Linked DNA regions of Arabidopsis thaliana. The protein of the gene in region 2 interacts with the protein of the main gene of each other region in a pairwise test. Each region holds a gene or a part of one and is shown on either strand. Other genes may lie near its edges.

Region 1 (6,643 bases), about 18 Mb from region 2:
ACAGATGGCTCCTTCGATCCATGTACTCCATCGGCACCCTCAGAACTAGATTTCTTTTCACTAGGCTTAGTAGAATTCTGCATTCTGACAAACTTCCTAAGATGCCAGTGAGCATCCTCAATGCGACCTTCAATCAAAGAAAACATAGTTCATTTAGTGCAGACTTGAATGATAATGTAGTTAAGAGTATAATTCAGTTCCTACACAAAGCAAAACTTGGAAGATATTATGACAACCAATTATAGTCTTACTTGTATCAATGTCAACTCCAAGAATGCTCCGGCAACCGAACTTTTTTGCTGAAGAAGAGCAAAACAATATCAGCTAACGACTATATAAAATTATGGATGCTGCCAGAGAGATTTCAGACACAATGGAAGTTCAATCACACTTTACTATAGCATTCTCATAAGGACAGGTATAGCTACAACAACATATCTATTACTATAATGGATGGACATAGATAGGAACAAATTATGATATTGATAAGAAGAAGATACCAATATGAATAGTCATGATGCCGCTGTTGCAGCCAATGTCAAGACAGTCTTTGCCTTCAAACCATTCCTTCTTCAACACTTTAAGCCGAGGATCCTCATCCGTGTCATTGCTTATCTAACACATTATGTTGCCAAACGAATCCAAAATCAGATACTAAACCAAAAGATGAGCAGACTATGAAGGAATTTGAAAATATACTACGAAACTCACTCGGTAGCCATAGTAGTTTCTGTAATTTCCGAAGGGATAAACTTCTTGATTCTTCTTCTTCTTGCTTTGATTACAATTTCCTTGTTGTCCTTGTTGTTGCTTCTGCTTCTGCTGTGTTGGGACTTTCTCTTCATTAGCAACTACTTTCTCAACACTCTTCTCATTCTCATTACTTCTGTTTCTCTTCTTCTTATTCTTCTTCTGATCGTTGTCCCGACCCATTTTTTTCTCACACGCGTTGATGAACAAAGCTCGCGAAGTTAGGGTTTCTTCTATGTTATCGCTATCAGCTAGATTCTTAGAATCGAAACAAAACGATTAAGTCTAAACAGAGAGATTCGACGAAGCTAGCTCCTAGAGAGGTTTTTCTTCGAGGTTAAGCGGCGCAGAGCGAGGAGGAAGAAGAAGAAGAAGAACCGAACCGCCTTTGAAAGTCCAAAAGGGTTTAACGAGTCTCATATTTAAGTAATCCTCTCTTTTTTAGTTAATACATTCTTTAAACCTATTTATGTAAATATACGAAAGTTTCCTTTTCTTTCACCGACGTGGCCAAATTAATCTTAGAGAATTAACTTTTGTTTTTTTTTGGTCAATATGCATCAAATCTAGAACAATGGAAGCTTGCGAGTTATTGTGAAATCGTGACTCGTGTTTGAAGATAATAAAAACAAAGGAACTCATCAAAATGTTGCACTTGTCATCAAATATTGTACAGAAAATCTAGAATATAATTCCCCTCTCTCTTCTGCCATACAATTCTTCAACTCATCTCTGTTAATCGAAACAACTGCAGCGTCCGATGAACCGTGTTGATGATGATAAGCTTTCCCGAAAACGGAGAAGCAGCTGCTACTTTTTTAACACCAATTTGCCTAATCAGTACGGTCTGTAGCGCATAGGCCGTCTGAACCTGGGAACTCTCCTGCACAAACCATCAACCATTGTCAATTTTATGAACAACCATGATGAATCAAACAAATGGACTTTAAAAGAGAGGATAGGCAGGTAAGGTTCTAGAACACACCCATAAGCATATGGAGGATAAAATGGAACTCCTGGCATGAATCCCCTCATCGGTCTAAAGGGACGCCCTCTTCCTCGAAATTGCCTCATTCCAGGTACATTAGTCCTCTTTGCAGATACCTGAAAATAGATTAAACAAAGTTTAGTAATGACAAATCGTAATATGGAAAATAATTAACTACATCGTATTGAACGAGTTTGCACCTTTATCTGACGACCATGTAGTTCTGACTCGTTCAAAATAAGCGAATTCTGAACAGCTTCTACTTCCACAAATTCGACATACGCAAAACCTTTAGGTTGACCAAACTTATCTGTCAGAATTGTAACCCTATTCACTGTCCCACATGATTGAAAATGCTGCTGGACTTCCTCTGGAGTACATGCATAGTCCACCTAATATACACAAAAAAACAAAGACACAGGATATCTAAAGAATCAGCTTCACAGATGGGAGATATGAAGGCTTTCTGAAATATGAAGGAAAGTTAGTTTAGCAATTACTAGAGATAAAGAAATAAACAACAAGCAGCCTCCAAATTTCATTGATACCAAAGCAATAAAACACACAAACTTTCTTTAAAAAAGATACAAACATATATGAGAAACATGTGAAAATTAATGGTGGAACAAGCCTCACATTGCCAACATATATTGAACGCGAATCCACTTCTTCCTTCTCAGCCGCACTAACACCACCTGAAGGGTCTTCATTGATATGCAACAACATAAAAGGTATTGACCCAATTAGCTAACTGACAAGACTCCACAATACTATTAATGATTTCCTTCTCATACTCAAACTCCAGTAAATTTCTAGACAGATTCATTGATTCACTAAAAGATTCCAATATGTAAACCCAAAGCAATATCATAATCAACAAGACAAGCTTTAAACCTAATCTATCAATTTAAAGGTTAATGTGAAGCTGCGCACAAAGATTCAAGATTTTACGTATCAGTTAATAAGTACAAACCTTGACTAGCACCCATATCTTTCTCAGCCTTGGCTTGCATTTCACGCAAAGCTCCAGCTTCTTCCTCAATCTCCTTAATTCGTTTCTTCATATCCTCCAAGTCCTATCAAACAATCAAAGCAAATAACAGACTAAATACAGTAAAAAATAAGAAGAGTCTCAATTGGATAAAAGTAAATTATAGATCGAAGAATCACAATACCCTAGAGCTAGAGCCAGGTTCAAGCTCCTCATCTCCGGCGGCGGCACCTTCTTCTCCGCCGTGTTCTTCGTACTCTTCCGTATCCATCTCACCTTCTTCCTCTTCTGGGATCTCTCCACCGTACACCTCATGCTCTTGCTCATCGTGCACCGGCATCTTTCTCTCTCTATATCTCTCACTCGGCGACTGTCGTTAAAGCGAGAAACAGAAGTCTCGGAATTTTAGGGCTTGAAATCGGGAAAGAAGGGAAGGTTTGTTTGTAATTAAAGATACCCAAAAAGGATACTTTCGGAATTATGAAATCTTAAGTAGATTCACCAAAAGTGGACACAAAAGTACAATCAAACCCAATGGGCTTCTCAGATTAAAACGTGACGTGTAAAGTCGGTCCCACGAAAGTTTATTGTGGTTCCCATTAGTCATTAGTGATTACGTGGCACCTCACCCATTTAACTCAGTCCAGTGGTCTGAAAATCGTTTCGCTCTCTAAAAACCAAAACTCTTATCTTCGGTACAGAGCAAATCACAGCTCCCGATGGCCGCCACGTCATCATCACCGCCGTGTAACATCTCCGCGTCCTCCCTCCTCCTCCGTCAACCTTCTCGCTCAATCCTTAAAGTGTTCGGTTTATTACCACCTGTAAGTAGGAATAACCGTAAACTCGGCCGGTTAACGGTGACCCGGTCTAATCTGGCGCAGGATTTTCTTGGTGACTTCGGAGCTCGTGACCCTTACCCGGAGGAGATAGCGAGTCAATTCGGAGATAAAGTGTTGGGATGCCAAAGCACTGAGCACAAGATTTTGATACCAAACGCATCTGTTTTGTCTCTCTCCCAGCTTCAGTGTTCCCCTGTTTCGTCTTCACAGCCTCCTTTGTCCGGCGATGATGCCAGAACTCTCCTCCACAAGGTACTTATACTATTTCTCTCTTAGTATAAAAATGTTCGAGTTTTGATTTTACAAGTTTGTTGGTTGATCAAAATATTGTGAAAATGTTATTGATTCTGCGTTTAACAGATTTCTAATCTATAAAGATAGAATTGTGACCCAAAAATATAGAAAAGCCAATGAAAATTTTAGTATCATGAGGGACATATTAGGAACAATGGTTACGAGATTAAAAAAAAATGAAATGATTAGTGTTGATAAGGCTCATGTTGGTGTTTTGGTTCACGGTTACCACTCTAATGATGTGGTACATCAATCTCAATGATTATTATGTAAACGTTTTAGGTTTTGGGATGGAGTATAGTGGATAATGAAGCGGGTGGTCTGAAAATAAGGTGTATGTGGAAAGTGAGGGATTTTGGGTGCGGTGTTGAACTCATAAACAGGATCCATAAGGTTGCTGAAGCTTCTGGTCATTACCCTTCTCTTCACTTGGAAAGTCCTACCCAAGTTCGAGCTGAACTATTTACCTCTTCTATCGGTATGTCAAATATTTGATGTTCGAGTTTGAGTTTTAATATATGGTTTCTTAAGACGGTTTGTTGGATGAATAATGCAGGAGGGTTGAGCATGAATGATTTCATAATGGCGGCTAAAATAGATGATATCAAGACTTCTGATCTTTCCCCTAGGAAAAGAGCTTGGGCGTGATCTTCTTTTCATTATTTTGGAACATTTTTGTTTGATAGTATGTAATGTATGTGATGTATTCTAAATTGTGTGTGATCGGTCTACATGTCGAGTTATATAGAAAGCATTGTCATAACCGCATAAGAGATATCACGCAACATGTCTTTGAGATTCATTCATCAATCAAAAGAAGAAAGAACATCAATCATATGGAGCACAATATAAGAAATGAGACATTATTATTAGATTAAGACATTATTATTATCATTTCTTCTTCTAGAACATTCTGGGACTAACAAAAAATTCGAAAAAACACAACTACATTTTTGCATTCTAATAGGCGGTGGTGGTTGGAGGACTAGCCATTTTGGAGCATTGGTGTTTCATCATAGGAGGGAAAAACGGGTTGGATGGAAGATTTGGTAAGCAGTTAGCTTCAGCGTCAAGGAAAGCTTTACAACAAGCAGGACCAACGCCTTCAAATTTGCCGGACATTACGGCTTGTTGAATCTCTTCAAAGCATCCCGGCAAATCCATCACTGTTGACCAACATTTGCTCAAGTCGGGACTTCCTGCCATACCGGGACTTGGTTTGAACGGATTTGGAAACGGGAACATGATTGGGGGAAACTGCGGTAGCTGAGCATTAACGGAGGCTGCGATGCATACAACTACTAGGAGAGAAACAACACTCTTGATCGACATGATGAATATTTGGGGGACTATGCAACAAGAGAAATAGATGACTTGAGTTTTGTTTGATGAGATAAAGTTATTGGCTATGAGATCCAATTTATACTGTAATTAGTTTGGCGAAACGTATTTTTAAAAGTTGCTTTCAAAATCAAATTTGTCGTTTTAATTTTGGAAGAAAATCAAAAATAGTCAAAACGTTTGATGCACATTGAATTTGATGCTGTCATATTTCTCATATGTAAAGAAATAAATCTTTCCTAACAATATGATAGGAAATAATACAAAGATGACAGAAGGGAAGCAGTAACAAATTTTAAGTCTCTTTCGTCTTTATTCATCTTGATATATATCATCTCCTAATTTTTTTTTTGAGATTTTATTTACATTCATAGCAAGAAAAAGAAAAAAATCTTTTCAATTTAGGAATTGTTTTTCTTCCAACTTTTTGGAATCCTCTATATAGTAAAAGATGTGGCAAGCCCATAATTGTTCTCATCATTTTTATTTTTCATTTATTGAATATAATATACTCATTGTCAAACACTATTAATTCCACTATCCTTATCCTTATCCTTATTATTTTTTAAACCAAACATATTTTAATATTAAATACACCATCCAAAAATAATATTTTCGGATTTCTAAATATTTAGCTTATAGAAAGATTTCTTATTTATCAAATAAATTAATTTAATCAAATTTAAATTTACTATTTCCCAAATTACTAAAAACTTAACTTTTAAAATTAAAACATTAAATTATATAGCCCATATTTTTATCCTATAAATTTCATGCAGTATACTATATAGTGTCTATCTATTCAACACAATCATAGTTTTTTCCTATAATTTGATTTAAAAAAAATCATTCTCCTCTATACATAAGAGAGTCTTTAGTGTTTAGGATATAATCCCACAATTTTTCTCAAGTATTTTTTTCTTTAATTCTACTATATATCATTATTACCAAACATTTTTAATTGCAAATACTATTTATCTTATTTTCTTAAAACTAATTTTTAAACACTCATAAAAGATTTTTAATATATAAATTTACCATTTTAATAAAAGTAAATAGTATAAAATTTACGGCAATAATTAGATAAAATTTGTTACCATTTAAATTTGAAGATATGTTTGACCCTATATGAATCTCACATATGTTCTCAAACATTTGGATTTTAGAATAAACTAGAAATGGTTTCATACGTTAAACAACTTTGTATTGGTTCTAGTTTCACTTATTTCCGTTGTCTCATCATATGCAATTGCAAGATTCAATACAAAGGTTACAGAAAGTGAAATCAACGTCATATGAACAAACAAAGATGTCAATGCATCATTTTGCTTTGAGTTCTTGAAATCATCCTCTCAAATTGCAACACTAGATGTCTGGTCTAGCCAAATTGAAATCATCATTTTGTTTTATATGGATTTTTGTTTAAAAACGAAATTA
Region 2 (10,120 bases):
CATGCGATATGATTGAGAGAATACACAGAAGTACAGAACCAACCAAACCAAATGAAACAATGCTACGTTTGTGCACTCACAAGTGTGTCAATCTGCACAATTATATTTGCATAATGTAAAGCAAGACCAGCAGGTCCCAATCTTTTATCATATTCTGCAGCTCCTTTCTTCGATGGTTGATCATCTGGGCAAAGAAAAATAATTTAATATAAGAAAATTCAGGTTGTTGCGTGAAAACTTAATTATGGAGGATCAATTAACAAGATATATTAGAGCATGTAGTAAAAAAGAGTAGTGGACGAGAGAAAAAATCAAAAGCTTAGATACATGCTCAGTAGCACATGGTGAAGGTACAAAAAGGAGGAACTTACATACCGGCACCACCGAAGATATTATGAATCTCTAGCAACAAGAAATGTACAATGTCTACTAGTTTCTCCATCACCTGAAATACAAATTAGCAGGTAAGTTAAAGATCATAATAATCTATTTATGTTAGCAAGATTTTTTAAAACAAGAGATTTGGTTTGACTGAATTTTAGTTGGTGAAGTGTAATGTTTAAAGTGATTTAAAATGATGCATTTACACCATATAGCTGAAGGATTGGTGGTGTTAGTTGATAAATCTGTACACACCTCTTCAAAACCTCTGGACCACAACGACTTTTTCTTTAAGCTTTTCACTACCTTTCTCTGGGCTTTAAGTTCCGTTTTTAAGATTGCAAGGCCATCACCTACGTGAAGAAAAGAGTACTGTCATTTAAACGATGTTCCAAATCTAATAAAGCAGCCAAGTAGTCTTCGGTAACTTACCCTTACTGCTATTAGCTGAGTTCTCTTCTTCTCGACGCTTTTGCTCATAGTCTTTCTCCAATCGATACAATACTTGGAGTTCTTGGTATAGTTCCTGAACCAAAAGAGATATTGAGATGTGTGAGTGACATGACAAATAACCTCCCTTTTTTTATCACATATTCTTTCGAAAGTAAACAGCTACTAAAGAAGATAGCTGATAGCTCAACGCACAGAACACCACATCTAAGTAGCAAGAACAAGTCAATATGCTTTTAGAGTTTCTAATTTTTGAAAGTAGTCACTCACAGCAGTATACTGCACTAGAACCATCAGTTGGTCAACAACCAACACCGCGTCTTCCTTTAACTGCCTTTGAGGGGTTAATTCTTTGCTGATCCTGAGGACAAAAGAAACGATTCGGCAGCTTAAAAGAAAGCTAGACAAACAAATATTAACATTCTCCCATGTACAAATATTTTGAATAAAGCTACCTATCGAAATAGCGCTGTAAATTATGCCACTGAAAATCTTTGGATCGGTTTCCAAACCGAACCACTTCCCCCGAGAAAACTTGCAGCTCCTGCCTGCAAATATATCAAGTTAACTATCTTGCCATGTTTTAAAAAAGCTAGGAAAAAACAAAAGAAGCCGTCTAGACTAAAATTTTCACCTCTTATCAGCTGCAACAAGTCTGAGTAGTTCATCGAAATCATTCGAGACTAGGTTTTGAACACCCTCAGAATAAAGGATAGTTCCTTTTAAATGCTCGATGTTCCTCTTAGAAAGGGATTCAATGAGATTTGAGCTTTTGACAATTGTGTTTGCTACTTCAAAAGCTAAGATCCCAAGTTCATTGCCTTTAGTTGCAACTCCAGAAGTAAATCCACCGCTACTAAGATCTGTCATGCTACTTCCAAGGGTATCCAAAACATCTTTTGCTCTACCTAACCCCGCTTTGCCTAAAAGCTTACTTGCCTCTGTAACCTGCCACAGTATAGCAAATTCGGATTGGTCTCACGACATTTCAGGACTTCTAAACTTAAAAGACACTTGCCGTTACTAAGAGACAATGCTTTAACTCTTAATCTTAGTTGCTAAAAAAGGAGCTTCATTTGGTCCATACTAACCTTTGAAACAGCGGTTTGAGTTGATTTTGCAGACCGAATTTTCTGTGATGGAGCCATAGTATACGTCGGAATTCCATCATAGAAATTATCTTCAGCTTCCCTTTCGCGGAAAGAGAAAACATCTTTTAATTGATTTTGTTCCTTGACGTCTTTAACCATAAGCTGCCTCATACCAGGAACAATCAAACTGGTTTGCCCATTTGGTTGTGAGTGGCCAAAATCAGGTTCTCGACCATCATCAGCCACACTAGAACCAGAATACTCGCTGCCAAAATTGATTCCAAGGCTCTTGGAGCAAAAACTCCCCATAACTCTTTTCCAAAGACCTTTAAGCTAAGTTATCGAAAAGATCATGCCACTGTGGGGAAGAGTAATAACCTAGAACAAAGGAAAAAGTCAGATCAAGAGACTCAAGGAGACCAAATCTTCCAAACTAAATTAGTAACACAGAGATAGGATCGTGTCCGAAATAGTTTAAGACATTGTAATCGCCTTGGGGGAAATTAACAGATTCACATAAAGCCAAAGCCGTTCACGAAGTAAAAGCCTTTAAGTCAAACACTGTGCAAGTCTTCTTTCTCCAAAAAACCTAAGCAAGATCGTATTTTGAGGAGAGGAATGCGAAGAAGAAGACTTACCCAGTAGAGAAAAAGACCAGAAAAGACTTGGGCCAAGCCAATTTCGGAGGTATAGAGCTTGGGATTCACGACACACAACAGTGAAAAGACAAAAGAGACAAAGGAACCTCGAACACGAGAGAATTGATGTTAAAAAGGAGAAAGTCAAGGAGAGTAGTATGAACTAGGAACGAAGGAAGAAATCAGAAAAACAAAAATTAAAAGAGAGATTGGACCACACCAAATTGGCATCAGCTAAAGCCAAATTGAAACAACCAGCTTGATAAAGAAACAAACGAAGAAAAGTCTAAACCTTTTTTCTTTTAATCTCCTCACACTCCATGTTAATAAAAAGAGTCACAGGCGGTGATGGATTGGTCAAATCGTCCCTTATTACCACGCCATTGACTCATTTTGTGCTCTGTCTTTTTACATTCCGTGCAAGTAAAAAACTCATCTTTACTTTCAATCCCTCACTCCTCTTACTTCTAAACCGAAATTGCGCTAAAAGGTTAGGACTTTTCATAGGGATTAAATTAGTCTTAAAAGGCATGTGAAGATCTTATATAAGAAATGATTAAACACTAATCAACTCATCATTGAATAAAAAAGAGTCTTATATTCTCAAAATGCATGATTTCTGGTTCATCGAATCAAATCATAGCACAACAATATTGAACAAAAAGCTTATTTCTATGTTTTTTGACATTTGATGTTCTACTTCGAATATTTTTGGGTTTAGAATTATCTGATTTAAAATCAATTTATTTGATCTTGTTCAGTTTCATTAAATTTGTGGTCTAATTTCGGTTTAATTCACACAAAACAAATTCGTTATTTTAAGAAAACAGATTTGGATCGAATCGGGTCGGGTGGGTTAGAATCCGATGGACAGGCCCAATTGGATACAGTGGCCCAGTTACATAGTCTGTGGCTCAGGATACTTTGAATTTCTCTCAAAACAGTAGAGAGAGGTGTAGAGAGCTTAGACAGTGCCATGGCCATGGCTTCTGCTATGGACTTATCTTCTCCTCCAACGTTTTTCTTATCCGGAACTTCTACATCTTCCCCATCTCTCCGTCGTCTCTCCTCCATTTCCGTCTCTGGATTCCGCCGTCACTCTAATCGGAAGTTACAGATACTTTGCCAAGCCACAGCTGGAACTGAGCCTCAGAGCGGTCTCTCTGTCTCTGGCTCCAAATTAGCCGCCCGTTCTGGTCAAGACCGTCTTTTGAAGGTCGGGTTCTGTTTTGTTCTCTCTCTTCATCCGTGTGCCGAAACTTGAGAAGAATTTGGATTTTTTTTGAAACTGAATTTGTTATGAAATTCGCAGGTTCCAATTTCGAACATCAGGAATTTTAGTATTATAGCTCATATTGATCATGGGAAATCTACGTTAGCGGATAAGTTGCTTCAGGTGACTGGTACTGTTCAGAACAGAGATATGAAGGAGCAGTTTCTTGATAACATGGACTTAGAGAGAGAACGAGGCATCACTATCAAGCTTCAGGTTTTTCTTTCAATCGCTTTCTCTGCACAATCAAAAATCAGTTTCGATAAGATTGCTCAACGGTCTGATTTGTAACTTTGCGGTGTATGTTTGTGTAGGCAGCTCGAATGCGTTATGTTTATGAAGATACACCGTTTTGCCTCAACTTGATAGATACTCCAGGTCATGTTGATTTCTCTTACGAGGTACTTACAATATTCTAATCTACTTATTGTCTACGGATACATTTGAAGCTTAGCCTTATAGTTATTTTTCATATGTGAGAAGTTACTTGGTTTGAGTGTTATATATCACCTAAAAGCGTAATTTTTTTTACAGTTAGGAATATACACAAACTATTAAGTTGCAGTTTTGATGAAGAATGCACTGTTTATTTGTACATAGGTTTCCCGATCTCTTGCTGCTTGCGAGGGTGCTCTTCTTGTTGTGGATGCATCCCAGGTGATTTTTCTTTCTCTTGACATACAATTTTCTGACACGCTGTGGAAACCTGGAATCTGTATTGTTTATGCCGTTTTTTCGCTTGGTAATTTCGTTCTTTTCTGATGGTTACATACTTACATTACTGAAAAACTTAAACTTCCTCTATCATGTGCTTTAGGGTGTGGAAGCACAAACATTGGCTAATGTGTATTTGGCCTTGGAAAACAACCTCGAAATTATTCCCGTAAGTACGGAATTATGCTTCATCTTATTAGCTATATGTGCTAGTTATCATCATTCCTTTTAACAAATCACATTTCAACTATATGTGGTAGTTATCATCATTCTTTCCTTCGTCTCATCTCCATGGAAGATTATTTAAAAATGTCAATGTCGTTTTATTTAAAAGAAGTCGGAGTCTGCAATAAGTTAACTTTCAAACAAGGCAAATATGTTAAAAAAAATAGGTAGTATCACTCTGGCAGTACATAGAAGATGCGTAGTAAAGAAAAGAATAGCTAGTCTAGGATAAAATGATTATATCATTTAACGTTTCATTATTGCTTCAACCTGATTCATGACTATACAGGAAATAATAATGTAAGGTGGTTTATTCTTCTTTCAAATATTTGGTCTGCATACCAGAGTTTAAAGCAAATGAACTCTACTTCTTCCTGCAGGTTTTAAATAAGATTGACCTTCCAGGCGCTGAGCCAGAGAAAGTTCTCAGGGAGATTGAGGAGGTTGGTGATTATGTTCATTGTGTTACCCATTTTATGATGTTCGTATTCAATAGCAATCATACAATGCAACCAGTAATAATTTGAACAGTATTCCTTTTTGGGTGTCTGCAAAAACTCTTCAGTCTTTTATTTTTCTGTTGTCAATATGTTATCTTGACATTTTACAAGGTTCTAGCTTCTAGTATTAGATATTATGTTGATTATTGCGGTACATTCTTTTATGCTTTAAACATTTTCTTTGTGATATTATGATCCAGTCTCATGTTCCTCGAATGGGGTAATTGTCTCATTGCTGCAATTTCAGAGACATCAGCCTTTATGTGAACACTGATTGATAATTCATATTGTTTGTAGGTTATTGGGTTAGATTGTAGCAAAGCGATATTCTGTTCGGCAAAGGTTAGATTTTAAAATTGTTTTGCTATTCTGCTACCCAAAAATTAAGACGTGTGGCTTTCTATCCATTCAATTACAATTTTTGGGGAATAATATATACACGCAGGAGGGAATTGGTATTACCGAGATTTTGGATGCAATTGTTCAAAGGATACCTGCACCTCTCGATACTGCAGGAAAGCCCTTAAGAGCTTTAATTTTTGACAGGTTTGCACTTGTTGTTTTTATTCATAACGATTTTTGCCTTTTCTAGAGAAAACAGTATGAAATTGAGTCTTGGAGTCGAAGTTGTATTCGTATATAATGATTGGACTGATCATTGGCATGTCAAGTCAGTACCAGTTAATCACTGGTGAACTAAAAATGAGTGTGAAATACTCGTGTTTGTTTTGCTTGATTAGTCTACAAGTGTGCAGTTTTTATATGTGAACTACTTTATATTTTTCGTCCAAAATTCATTTTGCTGCAGTTATTATGATCCATATCGTGGTGTCATTGTATACTTTCGAGTTATCGATGGGAAAGTGAAGAAAGGCGACAGAATTTTTTTCATGGCAAGCGGAAAGGTTTATCTCTTTTACTCTACTGTACTGTCTTTCTATTTAATCGAGATAGCTTTCCATTTGCCAATAATGAATTGAATGTAATTTGTGCATGAGATAGGTTTTCGCGGTCTATTTGAATAAAGCGATGTGAAGTGTTATTCTATAATTCTTTCAGGAAAAATTTGAGAATGTTTAAGCTTTTAAGAACGCTTACTTGTGTTTCACTAGTATCCTTCATGTTCTCAGTTTTGCATCAATTGCAGGATTATTTTGCGGATGAAGTCGGAGTTCTATCTCCAAATCAAATTCAAGTGGATGAATTATATGCGGGTGAGGTAGTGTACTCTTTTGAACATAATATTTTGTTTGTTTTGTTTACTTTCCTGTGCATCCATGTCCCATTTTCTTGTTGAATTTTTTTCTTTCAGCAGAAACCTTGGTATTATGAAATGAAAATGTCAGTATTCTTTTGCAGTTTCCGCCGTTCTATTCCAACACATGTTAATAGGAAAACTAAAAGCGTTTGTAAATGGAAGGATTTTCTTAGCATTTCCTTGTAGCAGCTTTGGCAGAAGATAGAGTTGTGGTTAATAACAATTTGAATGCAATGAAACAAATATGTTTTCACTTTTCTTGTTTGGCTATATTTGAGAAGAAATGGTTAGTTGCATCTTCCCTTGCTCAAGTTCTAATAGCTAGAAAGATGTTTTTAGCACTGATTGATGCTGCTGGTGTATATCAGATATGCCTGAATATCATGCCACATTTCTTGCACATATTTTAAAGGTTACTGTCCTTAAATACAGGTAGGATATATTGCGGCTTCTGTAAGATCTGTTGCAGATGCCAGGGTAGGAGATACAATAACACATTATAGCAGAAAGGCAGAAAGCTCTTTACCTGGTTACGAGGAAGCTACCCCTATGGTGTTCTGTGGTCTTTTTCCAGTTGACGCTGACCAGTACTGAGTTTTTGTTTTTCATTGTTGACTTTTTGCTTTTTCATTTTGTATTTTTTTTTTTCACACCTGGTCTATGATGGCAGGTTTCCCGATCTTCGCGATGCATTGGAAAAACTGCAACTCAATGATGCTGCATTGAAGGTATAGTAGAATTAAATGACAGAAACAACATTTTTCTTTCATCTGTACCCAGAATAATTTGCACGGACGAAACAACTATGGTCTTCGTATGCTTACTTAGCCAATGTATGTTTATGCCCAGTTGGCTTCGAATTGGAAAGTAAAATTGTGTTTTGCAAAGAACTGGTCTTCAGTCCTCTATTGTATGTATCTTTGTTAAAAATATTCACATTTGGTCTAAGGAGCGTATACGTTAGCATTAACATATCTATAGGTTTGTCCTCAACTTGGTTTTTATCCTGCAGTTTGAGCCTGAAACTTCGAGTGCCATGGGATTTGGCTTTAGATGCGGGTTTTTGGGTCTTCTCCACATGGAAATTGTGCAGGTCAGATATGTTTCGCTCTTCTTGTTCTAAAGTGTTTTTGGTGCGTCTCTGACTGAAAATTTCCTATGCAACAGAAGATAGAGAAAAGAAATTCATAGATACTGAGTTATCTGTTAGTATTTTACTTATTTACAGTTTCCTCCCCGATAGATACCCGCCATAAATTATACTCAACAAAGTGAATTATATCATTCTTTGTTCTTACGCTCCAGTTCACTCTTCTTCACAGGAAAGGCTAGAGAGGGAGTACAACTTAAATCTTATTACCACAGCTCCAAGTGTTGTTTATAGGGTGAACTCTGTAAATGGTGATACTGTAATTTCCTCTTGATCCCAAACTTTTAAATATTCTTCTTTGTTCCCTGAAAATCGCATCCTTTTGTCTTTCTTTCTTGATCTAGAGCCTTATTACCTGTGAAATCAATTTTACTGCAGACTTTGTGCTCAAATCCATCACGCCTTCCAGATCCTGGGCAAAGGAAATCGGTCGAGGAGCCATACGTTAAGGTTGCCTTTTCTACTGGAGATATTGCTGATAAGTTCACACACCACATTTCGTAGAATTACATTTCCTTACTGCAAAACCATTTTATACAGATTGAACTGCTCACACCAAAAGACTATATTGGTGCGCTTATGGAGCTCGCTCAAGAGAGGAGAGGGGAGTTCAAAGAAATGAAATATATAGCTGAGAACAGAGCTTCAATCCTCTATGAGTTACCTCTTGCAGAGGTGAGATCTCTGCTTGTGCAGAGTTAAGATAACCCCAATGAAAGTTTAGCCATGTCTCTCTTGATTATGTAAACTGATCTTCTTGTTAATCGCTCCCTGCCATTTTGCAGATGGTGGGTGATTTCTTTGACCAATTGAAGTCGAGAACCAAGGGATATGCTAGCATGGAATACTCCGTTATTGGGTTAGATCTTTCAACTTTTAATACACAGATCTTTCTCTTACTTTGTGATGCTTGCCTTCTATTTTTGTTGATTAACAAAGAAATGCGTCAGCTTTTTTGTGAAGATAAGAATCTATATTCTTTTCATAGTAATCCCAAAGTGATAAACAAGTATCTAAAATATATATATTTGCTTAGCAGCATCAGATCAATTTCAATCAGGTTAATTATCGTGTTGCTCTCTATCGTTAAATTTGGTAGCCCTTCTTTATACAAGTTAACTACTCAGCTTCGTCAGTTTCCATTTAAGCTTAATACATAATATGTTTCTTTTGCTCTTTTTGATGTCTTTCTTACCATCTTAAGGTATTCAACTTTTTTTTTTTGTCTTGTAATATGTGAGCAGGTACAGGGAAAGTGATCTGATAAAACTCGATATTCTGATTAATGCTGAAATGGTGGAACCTTTGTCAACCATCGTACACAGGGATAAGGTTATTTTGCTTAAGCTCTTTAATATGAACTTTTATGAATACAGCATACATACGCACTCTTACACCTGAATACAAAAATTTGGTTCAGCAATCTCATTGATACAATTTCACTTGCCCAAAAAGTTTGGATAAGTAGATTGATGGAAACACGAGGCGCTGCCAACTATCTTTTACACATCTCTGATTGTAAAGTTTTGTAGAACTGTTCCCATTAGCTTAAAGCTCTTACGGCAGAGATTAGTACATCTCTCACGATTTAGCAATGATTTATATCTTGTCCTCACAGTATTGTGGAATCGTTTTGTACTGTGATTCCAGGCATATTCCGTTGGGAGAGCTTTGACTCAGAAACTCAAAGAGCTTATTCCACGACAAATGTTTAAAGTGCCCATCCAGGTATATATCTGCATTTCCAAGCATTTGCAAACAATTGGCTAGAGAGTTCTCTTCCAAATAACTTACATTTCTACGAATGCTTGAAGATTTGAATCTTACACCGAGGGCCTGAGGCACATAAGATGGATTGGATCTTAAACTCTTCTTCTTCTGAGCTTTTAAAAAACTTACTTGTGATCAAATGGGTCTGATGAATTGTGTTCCTGCTTGGTTATCTGACAATGCCCTTAGAATATAGAAACCACGGAAGATGTTTTGACATACACATATACTTGCAGGCTTGTATAGGATCCAAGGTGATTGCTAGTGAAGCACTCTCAGCAATCAGAAAAGATGTTTTGGCAAAATGTTATGGTAAGTACACATTCCCTTGGTTCCCTTCCTCCTTTTATAAAAGCATGAAATAACCACCAGCTGACTTGATATCGAAACTCATTTACCATTTTAGTGTAAGCTCTTGTATTATCAGAAACTTCTTCTAAAGGCTCTTTCTTGTACAACTAGATTCAGACACAGAAAATGAAGTAGTTTTCTCTTTGACGTGTTTGTTCCCACGAGGGCATATCTGATCTTGTTACATTCATTCAGGTGGAGATATTTCTCGGAAGAAGAAGCTTCTTAAGAAACAGGTATATCTCTCTATAAGGGCGAAATCTTGATTTCATGATTGTATCTTCAGCGGTTTCTGTGTTCCTTAAAATGAGTTTTTGTT

The links. Proteins that work in one complex are often made in the same cells at the same time.
Region 1: the proteins of AT5G08650 (region 2) and AT5G51110 interact in a two-hybrid assay, tested with the Arabidopsis thaliana proteins (one large-scale study listed by BioGRID).

What each region holds. Positions count from the first base shown.
Region 1 is NC_003076.8:20,776,186-20,782,828, reverse strand, and holds AT5G51110 (Transcriptional coactivator/pterin dehydratase), read left to right. Parts: upstream 1-3,340; 5' UTR 3,341-3,448; coding exon 3,449-3,823; intron 3,824-4,147; coding exon 4,148-4,343; intron 4,344-4,421; coding exon 4,422-4,513; 3' UTR 4,514-4,825; coding exon of another isoform or gene 4,826-5,197; 3' UTR 5,198-5,328; downstream 5,329-6,643. Other genes in the region: AT5G51130 (S-adenosyl-L-methionine-dependent methyltransferases superfamily protein), read right to left, coding at 1-127, 252-299, 501-615, 712-933; PABN1 (polyadenylate-binding protein 1), read right to left, coding at 1,588-1,633, 1,736-1,854, 1,939-2,130, 2,375-2,433, 2,510-2,632, 2,712-2,814, 2,914-3,069; AT5G51105 (ECA1 gametogenesis family protein (DUF1278)), read right to left, coding at 4,826-5,197. UniProt on the Arabidopsis thaliana protein: Involved in tetrahydrobiopterin biosynthesis. Interacts with and acts downstream of the E3 ubiquitin-protein ligase SDIR1 in abscisic acid (ABA) and salt stress signaling.
Region 2 is NC_003076.8:2,806,637-2,816,756, reverse strand, and holds the start of AT5G08650 (Small GTP-binding protein), read left to right. Parts: upstream 1-3,154; 5' UTR 3,155-3,536; coding exon 3,537-3,776; intron 3,777-3,872; coding exon 3,873-4,049; intron 4,050-4,147; coding exon 4,148-4,234; intron 4,235-4,433; coding exon 4,434-4,490; intron 4,491-4,650; coding exon 4,651-4,716; intron 4,717-5,152; coding exon 5,153-5,215; intron 5,216-5,569; coding exon 5,570-5,614; intron 5,615-5,717; coding exon 5,718-5,818; intron 5,819-6,080; coding exon 6,081-6,177; intron 6,178-6,419; coding exon 6,420-6,491; intron 6,492-6,962; coding exon 6,963-7,117; intron 7,118-7,200; coding exon 7,201-7,258; intron 7,259-7,542; coding exon 7,543-7,623; intron 7,624-7,852; coding exon 7,853-7,939; intron 7,940-8,058; coding exon 8,059-8,130; intron 8,131-8,220; coding exon 8,221-8,355; intron 8,356-8,465; coding exon 8,466-8,539; intron 8,540-8,924; coding exon 8,925-9,012; intron 9,013-9,330; coding exon 9,331-9,408; intron 9,409-9,494; and 6 more. Other genes in the region: AT5G08660 (D-lactate dehydrogenase (DUF668)), read right to left, coding at 81-184, 376-445, 637-734, 814-907, 1,102-1,192, 1,287-1,379, 1,466-1,779, 1,923-2,231. UniProt on the Arabidopsis thaliana protein: Promotes chloroplast protein synthesis. May act as a fidelity factor of the translation reaction, by catalyzing a one-codon backward translocation of tRNAs on improperly translocated ribosomes.